Oryzias latipes: one gene and its partners. The protein of the gene in region 3 purifies or fractionates together with the protein of the main gene of each other region. This does not show direct contact. Links are inferred from orthologs where the notes say so. Each region holds a gene or a part of one and is shown on either strand. Other genes may lie near its edges. The genes, in order: ift43, wdr19 and ift140.

Region 1 (2,658 bases), on a different chromosome or scaffold from region 3:
AATACTCCTGCACATGGCTGGATGCGGCCCCAGTCGGAGTGGCAGAGTGGACGTGGAGGTCGGCCTACTGGCCACCGTGGGTCCTGGGGGTTGTGGCGCTGACAGGGCCCAAATGCTAAGGTAGTGGGGGGGGGGCTTTCTGGGGGAGCCCCTGGCCAGCACCCCACCCCCCACCCCCCATCACAGCAGGATGAGCTGCTGCCCGGCCTGCTGAATATTCATAGCCGCATGGCTATTGTGACAGGTCAGCTCTTATGAGGCAGTGAGAGAAAAGAAAGTGTCACACAGCGTAGATGACATGCAGACCCACACACCTCCAGCAGCCTCACGCTGGATAAGCAGTGTGCTTCAATAACTATTTATGCATTGATAAGCATTGACTTTATTCTTGACGCTTTTCCAGATACAATCATATTGCTTCTGTTTTTAGATATTCCTGTGATTCCGGACCTTGATGAAGTGCAGGAGGAAGATCTGACGATGCAGGTTGCTGTTCCACCAAGGTGCTCCTTAAAGTCACCCCCCCCCCAACCACTTTAGATTCAAATAAATATGAACTGTTCGTCCCAGACAGGCGGGTGACAGTTAACCCTTGACCGTGCCCGGGATACTTATAAGCAGGCTGCTGTGGGGACTGTGATGTCGCAGTGCGCCTTGCTTTATGTGTCTGAAATAGAGAAATAACAGTTTGATGTGATTTATGCAACTCCGTTTCCAGGCCCCGTACTACCCAGGTCCTCTGATTTACAGGGCAGTGAGAGACACGGCGACATGTGTCGACAGTGTAGCAAGGCTATGACAGTGGTGGAGGTTATTAGGCTGGGGCTTGCTCTCTGTGAGAGATAATATCCACATTGAACTCATTGCAGGGGCAATGTAGCGTATAATGTGCAGTAAGTAGGACTGGCATGCGCTGCTAGGTCCCGGCCACTTTCAGAGCCCCCCCCCCCACTTAATTTCAACCCACTGATAAGCAGCTGGGTTTCAATTTGAAGCGTTTAACAGTTGGCAACCATCTTTTTCTCTCTGTGGTCTTTGCTTGAAGTCCTGAAGCTTATTTCAGAGGAAACCTCAAACTTATCTGAAGATATTTCTCAGATTTGTATCAGATAAAGTGAAGGCATAATTATTTTGGTACTCTTCTTTTCTGGCTTACTTTTCTTCATTGTTCTGACTTCTTTGTACTCTCAGCATCCACGTGAGCCAGGTGATGACCTACAGAGATCTGGACAACGATCTCAAGCATTACTCTGCTTTCCAAACTTTAGTAAGTCATGGCGTTTGGGTTCATTCATTTTTCAAGATGGCCTCTTCAGCTCTGTGATGCTCATCAGTTACTGAAAATCAGGAACTTTTTACATCTCTCCTTCTTCAGGATGGAGAGATCGACTTGAAGCTTCTCACTAAGGTTTTAGCCCCAGAGCAGGAGGTGAAAGAGGTGAGAATATTTTTTTTTCTTTTTTAGTAAATATAGCTCCTGAGCTCCACATAAAGAACTGCCCAGCTGTTCTGAAAGCACCAGTGGAGGCTGCCACTCTTGTCTCTCAGGTAATCAAGATTTATGATGTGTACATTAACAACCTCTGCTCCCCCCCACCCCCATTCTCCTCTCCTTGCTCTCTGCTTTTCCTTCTTGGTGTGCTTCCCTCTGCTTCCTACACTCCTGCTCTCGGCCTCTGTTCTGTTCCTCCTTGCTCTTCAGGATGATGTGAGCTGGGACTGGGATCATCTGTTTACAGAGGTGTCCTCGGAGCTGCTGATTGAATGGGATCAAGGAGAGAGCAGCGAACCAGGCTTGAAGTGACTTTGGATCCTTTAATTAAAGTTTATTTTACTACTTCTTTACACAGAGTTGTATTTTTATAAATGTCTTTAAACAGTTTTGTTGCCTAACTTTTTTTGTATATAAACCCACAAGGTTTTGAATTGTTTGTTAAAAATAGCAGTCACAGATAAACATGCCCTCTCTGTACCGACAACATTATCAACAGCAACATACAAGTCCAAGGTTGATAATCAGCTAAGCTGAAATCCACTTGATTGTGTTTAAATTAACATTCCTCATTAAAGCCTACAACCTTATTGTTATTGACTCTGCCATTGACTTTATCTTGCAGCTCTTCGACAGGAACAGCCCCTTCTTCACTATTATCTCAAATGCATTGAACAGAGTTCCGATTGACACCTGAGGGATTAACATACATTATACTTTTTTTACTGAATCAAGAGAATGTGAAATCTTTCTCAAAGTAGCGAGCAAATTCTACACAGGCCTGTTGAAGCACAGAGTGCAGACTGCGTTTGCTCTAATTCCCTTCAGTCATTTGTGGTTTGTTAAATATGTTGCATGTCGTGCTTCAGGCGTGCTGATTGCATGTATCAACATTCAATCTTGTCTTTGGTTCATGCGTCTGAATATAAATGCGGACCTCCAAAGTCCAGGAAGGTCTATGAGGAAATGGTTGTAACATTTACAGATGTGTGATTAAGTTTATTTCAGTGGCAGAGATCAGTCTGGTGGCATTTGGAGATGCACAGCGAAGCCCTCAAGGACACAATGTACGCATCCAACAGCTCAATCACTGCTCATCACTTAAACATCCCGATTTTTAATTTTATTTAGCAGGCCTCGAATCAGCTTTCTTCATTTGTAATACT
Region 2 (3,758 bases), on a different chromosome or scaffold from region 3:
AGAATATATCCATCGCCATACCTGCACAATCAGACAAAAAATGTAGTATAGAATTCTCAGCCTTGATTTAGTCCCCGCTGTGCCAAATACGGTGGTAGTGCGTGGAAGTAAACAGTACCAGTGGTAGGACACAATGCTTCCATAGGTCCTCTGAAAAGCCAGTTTTATTGGGTTTTCTGGGTCGTTGATATTGAAGAGCATCAGGGATTTCTTATCCACAATCACACTCACCTGAGAAGGCAGAGATTGTGATCAAAATACGGACATGTGTAATGCTGAAACAGGTAAATATGGTTCTGTAAGGAAAACATCCAGTATAGACAAATTCATGTAATAAAATGCAGGTCAACACAAAATGAGTACTATAAAAATAGAATTAAAAGTTTAAAAAACAACATCTCATAAAAATAAAAGTGTTATCATCATAGAGTCTGCACTCAGGCTATTACAAACAGGAGTTAAACTATCTGTTAAACCAATTATGGAAGAAAATAGGACACATAGTTCTGATGAGTGACAGTAACAGGCTGCTGCACCACAAAGTGAGGAAGAGCAAAAAACAAAAGGCTACAAATAAAGTCAATTTTTCAAGTATTATCGAACAACCTCACCTCAAACAGGCAAAACATAACCTATGGTTAAAGTAAAACAAATCAAGCCAGAAACCTACAGTACTCTCTCCGTGAGATGATCTTTCATCTGTTTTCATCGATGAAAAGTAAATGTCACCAGGTTCTCCACGCAGTGCAGCCTAAAAAAAAAAAAAAAGACGGGAAAGATTAACTACCGTACATTTTTTGTGTCAGATTTCCGTGGTCGATAACAATAATAAATGTTCTGACACTATATGACACTAAAGGAAGTGCACCAGTACCTGTGAGATGGTATCTCCTTCATGGTTACTGATGGTGAGAGTGTTGTCATCGCTCCCCAGGGCCAATAAATTCTGAGAGTTCCAGCATCCACAGGTGATCCTTTTGGTGTGTTTCCCTAAAGTTAGACAACATCAGACATTTCATTCTGTAACACTCACCAATACTGACATGCAGCTTTTGAGGTTGCATTCAGTGTGCTTTACCTAAGACCGGGATTTTGCGTGAGGTTTGTCTGTTGTAAATCAACAGGTTTCCTTTGGCGGTCCCTACAGCTAACAGAGGGCCGGTCTTTGACCACAAGATGAAGGACATCTGATCTTTGCTGGGGACAACAAGAAGTATAAAGGCTAAAATTAGTATTTTTATTTGCACTGAGAATGTTTCATTTGGTAACTATTCTAACCCGTAGAGATTGATTATCATACTTCAGGCCACTGTCTATCTGTGATGTTTTATTGACACTGGCGTCCCACAGGTAGATGGAGACGGATTTTGCTGCAATAACGGCCAGAATGTCGCCGTCGTTATCCCAGTCCATCCCCATACAGCGCCTTACAGGAGGAGGATGAGGAGGAGAAAGAAAAGCAAAAAGGTCTTTATTTTATGTTTTTCATCCATCTTGATCAAACAAAAACAAACCCTAAAGAAAACGTCCCACTTACCCTGGAAGGTTGAGTTCAGTCCATTTATGTCCATACCGATCAAATATTTTTACCGAGTTGTCCTGTCTGTAGCAATAAAGGTAGAAAGAAACATTTTTGAACTTCTGGTTATAATCTTACCTTGATTTTTAAAATCCCCCCCCCCAAAAAAAAAATAATACTCACCCTGCAACAGCAATATAATTACCAAGACTTTTTTGCCATTTGTAAAGCAGGTTGGAGCCGGTCCAGGCCTTGTCGGCAAGAATAAAAACACTCTGTGGAGATATATGACTCTTTTAATATATCACTGATCCAAAACCTAACTTTTCTCTGAGGGGACAATTTACAGAGATGCCTCCCTTGTTTATGAAATCTGCAACTTTTTAGTGCAGTACACAGGTGAAAGGTTATTTAAAATATAATTGTTCCTACATTTGAAACAACAGATTATCCTCTCATTGGTGGCAAAATGTTTGGTTTCCTCCCAATTCTATTCACTTAAACTTGTCAAAGTGGCTCATTCTCAAATATCTATGAATTATTTGGGTGACTTTTAAAAAACATTTACTTAGTTTGGATAATAAAAGAAAAAAAATGAAATTGGAAAAAAACAAAACAAAACAACGTTTCTCTGCAAGTAGCATCAAACAACTCATTAAAACTCAGTTAAAAACTGTTGTAGCTTATACTTCCAACCCGTTTTACCTTTTTAAAAACATCGTATACACTCAAAATCCATCCACAACTCATTAAAGAAAGGCACGAATTAATTTAAGAACACATACATAAATTTACCTTAACCAAAGCCTGTGTAAAACGTTAGCATAGCACTCAACACCACACCGAACCAGCTTTTTTCCCCCAGACGTATTTCACAGTAACCACCACAAAGTTCCCTTAACTGCGATATAAATTACCTTCATTTTGTTTGATTTAATTATCTCGAAACTGAAGTTTTCGTGCCATCAGATTCTCAACCTAAAGGGGATAAAAAACGTATTTCCCACAATGCTTCACTCTCAGGCGTCCACTACAGCGATGTCATAGCAACAGACAGTAGCCAATCACACACCTCCATAAACTGCCGTTCAAAAGGCTCTCGCCTGAAACATTATTTTGTACCTGACACGATTTTATATTTGCAATTGTGCTCGCTCATTCCCTCAATATCTACAGGATGAGGATTTTCTGTCATGACGTAATCAGATAAAACAGGTTTCTGCAAAAATAAACGAATTAAGTGATGTTAATCCTTACATTAATTCCTAACAAAACATAGATTGGGGTTTGGAAAATGTAAATTTTTTCATTATTTTGATTATTTAATGCCTCAATATTTAAGGATTCATACCCTCCAGGGCTGGAAATATTAGGATTAAAAATAATCCTGATTTGGCCAGTAATACATTTCAAGTTTCTGAAAAGAGTAATTGTAGAAAGTTTGTTATAGTTTATCACTGCAGTACCGAAGAGGATTAGGGCCATGGACAAAGAAAAAAAAAGCGCATAGAAAATTCTGACTTTAATCTCAGAATTCTGACTTTAAAGTCAGAATTGTCTATGACCTTTTTTTTTATTTCTCCATGGCCCTAATCCTCTTCCGTACTGCAGTATGCAGCATGTTCGCACAATTAATATTTTTTGCATGTACTGTAATTAGGGCGCTTACTGGGTGACGAAAAAAAAAGTTTGTTGTTTTTTTTTTGTATTTTGTTAATTTCTTATGTTAAAAGTTGAACTCAAATATATTGTAGTCATGAGTTTCGATTGTGGTTAAATACTGAACTGAATGCACCTTGAAAATCAGAGCATCAATGTATGAAAACAACTGGTTTGTTGTGCTGTTTTACTTGCAGCTTTTTAATTGCAGAATCTGACCACAAGGTGGCAGTATTAACCTGGTCACCAGTAAAGTTCCGTTCCAGACGCCTCATTTTTGTGATTTGAGCTGTGCAGCTTCATCAACAATGAATTCAAGGAACAAACGCGACAAAAAATAATAGTTTCTTTAACGCCCTCAATTTGTTTATTAATGATTGTTCTCTGCCTGTTTATTGCCCTGTGGCAGAGTAGTTCAGATGAAAGTGTTATTTCTGAATTAAATCCACTGCTTTGAATGACTTTTCTTTGTGTGTGGGATCCTCCATAATGCCCTATGGAAATGTGAACCTTATTTCCACTTACAACATCCTCTAATTGTCTAGGTTTTCTGCCCCTCCGTGAGTTACCTCCTGTTAGT
Region 3 (3,658 bases):
TGAAATTGTATGTTTGGCCCAACACACCCTAGCTGTTATTTCGGAAAGGTGGTGTCTTTCGACCGGATGTAAGTCTTTTCCCTGAAAAAATGTTCAAAAAAGCTTTAATGTTGCCTCCCAGCTTCCAGCCCCTTCAACTGTGTACACCTTGTGATGCATTTATTTAAAAAAGGAAACTTTAAAGATGATCACAAATGCATCCATGCTTTGTTTGGACCTCAGCGTCAGCCCTGTATACTCTTGTGTTGGTGGATAGAGTAGATCTGTGATGCAATGTTGTTCCGCAACAACCGCAGAGTTTTTGTTTCCCCCAGATTTGTTGAATGTATTTCCTTGCTTTTTTTTAAATAACAGAACTTTTTAACACAATTCCATAAATGTTACTTGCAAAATCACAATTTTTTTTAAAACTGCCTTTCATTTCTCAGCCTGGTGAGATGGATCAAGGCTCAACTGAGGCCTCATCACTTTCACATCAGACCCACTCATCAAAATCCAAGCCTTCTCAGTTCCCTCATATGGTGTCCAGGCGGCCTCTCAAAGACTTTGTTGGTCTGGAGAGCTGTGAAAAGGCCACTCGGGATGCCATGCTCAACTTCAGCTTCTATCTGACCACTGGTGACATGGACAAGGCCTTTAGGTCAATCAAGCTCATAAAAAGGTAAGATAATAATACTAAAACATAGCCTGCCCAATGTAAATTAAAGGAGATTTTTTTTTAAAGATTAAATAAGAAAAATTGTGAAAAAGGAAAATATGACCTTTAATTGAAAAAAAAACTTGTAGATCCCATAAATGAGCAGTTCTTCACTATTGATGATCAGCACAAAATACGATTGCAAACGTTTTTAAGACCTCCCTTTTTACATCTTCATTGATAAAAGATTTTCATAATTATTTGGAAAAAAATCCTTCTTTTTTTCTCTAAGAATTAAGAAATAATCAGATCATGAATGAACTGCCTATACAACTGACAATCTTTTATTAGTTTAATATGCTACTTACAGTAAAAAAAGGAACAACACAGGAGATGTTTAATGTTTTTTTTGGTATCTGCATGGAGGGAAGGAACTCTTCAGTGTGTGTATATGTGTGAGTGTTTTTGTTATTGTGCGGGTGTGTTCTGAAGGGATGTACTTTTCTAAACACATTCTGAATTACACACACATGAAGTTCCCCTGCCAGTTTGATGGAGAAGGAGTGCCCGCTCCATTCTTCCAAACATGAAATCATGTCAGCAGAAGGGTGCGTGTGCTCGTTTCCTTTGTGCGTGTGTGCATGCGCGAGTGTGTGTAAAAGAAAGGTACATGGATATTCATCACTGATATGATATTATCTTGGGGAGAATACGTGATTGAGGGCACTCGTTTCAAGTCCTAGTACTTTCTCACGTACAAACATTACGCAAAAGGCAAAACGGCGTTGGCATGGTCAAACAGTCCGTCAGCCGGATATTCCAAAGAATTTAATAGTCATGATGACAGTTTTACTGAGTTCCTTATTGATGGCTATTTTTATGCCCGCTTAAGTTGATATTGTGTTTGACTCCCACCCACATGAGTGTGCATTTCCTGCAGGAGTAACCTGTATCATTAGGGGCTTTTGACTGTGGGGTTGATCAACAATGGGTTTCATTTTTAGATATGAATTTAGCTTTTTCCTTTTTTTTTTTTTTAAGGAATGTACTTGATAGCATCACCTCTGTTCACATAGATGGACAGTATGTCTGTGTCAGTCAAATTTCAGGATGCTTTATTTAACGGCTGATGACAGAGGGGTGCATTCCTGCTTGTTCTCCAGCATATCCTGCTCTGGTATGTTCTGACTGGCTTGACACGCCTGATCCAGGTAATGTGCCGTGAGTTGGGCAGTGATATCTGGGAAACATGAGGACACGGGCCCTTGAACCCTGAAAATTGCCCACCCTTGCTTTAGTGGTTAATCAAATTGGTATTCACGTAAAATACAGACTTATTGGTAATTAGTTGGGGCAGAGATGAACTTCCATTTTAAAGGTTGGCAGTTTATTCCTTACAGCTCTATGGGTTGAAGTTAACAACCTCTAAATAATGTGCTGATGTATGAGTTTGTAGAATGAGAATAATTCTGATAAAAGCAAATAAGAAACATTTTATAAAGCAACATTTTGAATTTACGTTTGAAACCAGCTTTTAGTTTCAGAGCCTTTTTCTTATTGTGAAGTTACTTTAGAATGGAATTTTCTGTGAAAAAGTATTACTCTTGTTTTTATAAGCCTAAACACGTCAGTGTATGAACCCAATTGAGATCGATGTGAATTTGTCATTTTTGTCAGTGAAAAACTAAAATCCTCATCTTCATTTATTGTTTTTTTTTTTTGTACGTGAGACCTGTTTTAATTAAAATATTTGTTTTACGGTTAGTTATTCCTCAAGGCGATGACATATTTTTTTACTTAAGTAATCCTTCAAAATAGAATTTGCAAAAAGGCTAAAGTTATTTTTTTTACATAATTTTTCATCTGGTTGGTTGAACATAGATCCATATTTAACATTATTGCATAAGTAAGTATTAAAAGGTCACTATTTTGCTGCAGTCCTCAAATGACAAAAATAAATATACTCATTTTATTTTGTTTTTTTATATGCACACATGCTGCTCTCACAGTTACATACTTGCATGTAAAAAAAAGAAAGAAAAAAACGTCAATTTTGCAGCTTTAGGAATGCATTTAATGTTTATGTAACATTGTATAGAAAATGTTCATTTTAAGTAGCACTGTCCAAACCTCTGTCCCTTCATTTTTAAGTAGTCGATATTGTAACTCTAGTTTTGACTCTTTAAAGTGAAAGTAAAAACCATAAAAATAAAATATTACAGCTCAGACCAAACATCTGATGCTTTAAACAGATTTTAATCCACATTTTTATTTCATTTGTTAATTCTCCTCCTCCCCATCTGTTAGGCCTGAAAAAGACAGTTTTTCCAAAGTAAGCAATACATTTATTGAAATTAAAAATATTATATATATTATCTGACCCGCTCCTATCTGACAGTGAAAGGTCCAAGCATATCAGTGAGTTAAAGTTCTTACATTTTTAATTATACAAGATGTACCAAAAGCAACAGTTGTTCATTTAAAATGCTTAATACAAACATTATTTGAGCCAGGTCTTTTTCCTGCCAATCCCGATTCACTTCATCTACAAGATGACTATTATTCATTTTAGTTACTAAAATTGTGCTTGGAAACCAAAACTGATCTGTGATCACATCTGCTTTTTCTGTAAGCAGCCATTTTTTTCTCAGTTCTTAGAACATTCTTAAAAAGAGTTCCATGTAACCACAATTCAGATGGTTAAAAGTGAAAAGTGTCCCAGAATGTGACAGACAAAATAAAAAGAAGCACAACTTGTTTTTGCTTATTGATTCACCAACTTCCAACAGATTCATTATAAAATATTCCTTTGAAATTGAATGACTTTTAAGATAGAGACAAACATGAGGTAATGTGGTGTTGTATTTATTTCCAAATTAAATTATGAAGGGAGTTATTCAAAAAGCTCCTTTTTGCCACAAGGGTCAAGTTCCAGCTTGATCTTTTTCTAAAGGTGGTTTCCATAAGTCCATCTCCTACTTGCTACCAGCTCACCCAAGTGTAAATATGTGAAGAAGTGTC

Evidence for each region.
Region 1: the proteins of ift140 (region 3) and ift43 purify together in Homo sapiens (affinity purification with mass spectrometry; 3 studies listed by BioGRID and IntAct, counting the BioPlex papers as one, with this or other methods). This does not show direct contact. The link is inferred for Oryzias latipes from reciprocal best matches to the Homo sapiens genes IFT140 and IFT43.
Region 2: the proteins of ift140 (region 3) and wdr19 purify together in Homo sapiens (co-immunoprecipitation; 3 studies listed by BioGRID and IntAct, with this or other methods). This does not show direct contact. The link is inferred for Oryzias latipes from reciprocal best matches to the Homo sapiens genes IFT140 and WDR19.

Annotation. Positions count from the first base shown.
Region 1 is NC_019880.2:13,343,604-13,346,261, forward strand, and holds the end of ift43 (intraflagellar transport protein 43 homolog), read left to right. Parts: intron 1-430; coding exon 431-503; intron 504-1,191; coding exon 1,192-1,267; intron 1,268-1,375; coding exon 1,376-1,438; intron 1,439-1,702; coding exon 1,703-1,804; 3' UTR 1,805-2,082; downstream 2,083-2,658. UniProt on the Homo sapiens protein: As a component of IFT complex A (IFT-A), a complex required for retrograde ciliary transport and entry into cilia of G protein-coupled receptors (GPCRs), it is involved in ciliogenesis.
Region 2 is NC_019859.2:13,003,024-13,006,781, reverse strand, and holds the start of wdr19 (WD repeat-containing protein 19), read right to left. Parts: upstream 2,555-3,758; 5' UTR 2,443-2,554; coding exon 2,437-2,442; intron 1,795-2,436; coding exon 1,703-1,794; intron 1,604-1,702; coding exon 1,538-1,603; intron 1,427-1,537; coding exon 1,301-1,426; intron 1,198-1,300; coding exon 1,079-1,197; intron 991-1,078; coding exon 875-990; intron 752-874; coding exon 671-751; intron 232-670; coding exon 119-231; intron 22-118; coding exon 1-21. UniProt on the Homo sapiens protein: As component of the IFT complex A (IFT-A), a complex required for retrograde ciliary transport and entry into cilia of G protein-coupled receptors (GPCRs), it is involved in cilia function and/or assembly.
Region 3 is NC_019877.2:9,009,636-9,013,293, reverse strand, and holds part of ift140 (intraflagellar transport protein 140 homolog), read left to right. Parts: intron 1-428; coding exon 429-661; intron 662-2,688; exon of another isoform or gene 2,689-3,658. UniProt on the Homo sapiens protein: Component of the IFT complex A (IFT-A), a complex required for retrograde ciliary transport and entry into cilia of G protein-coupled receptors (GPCRs).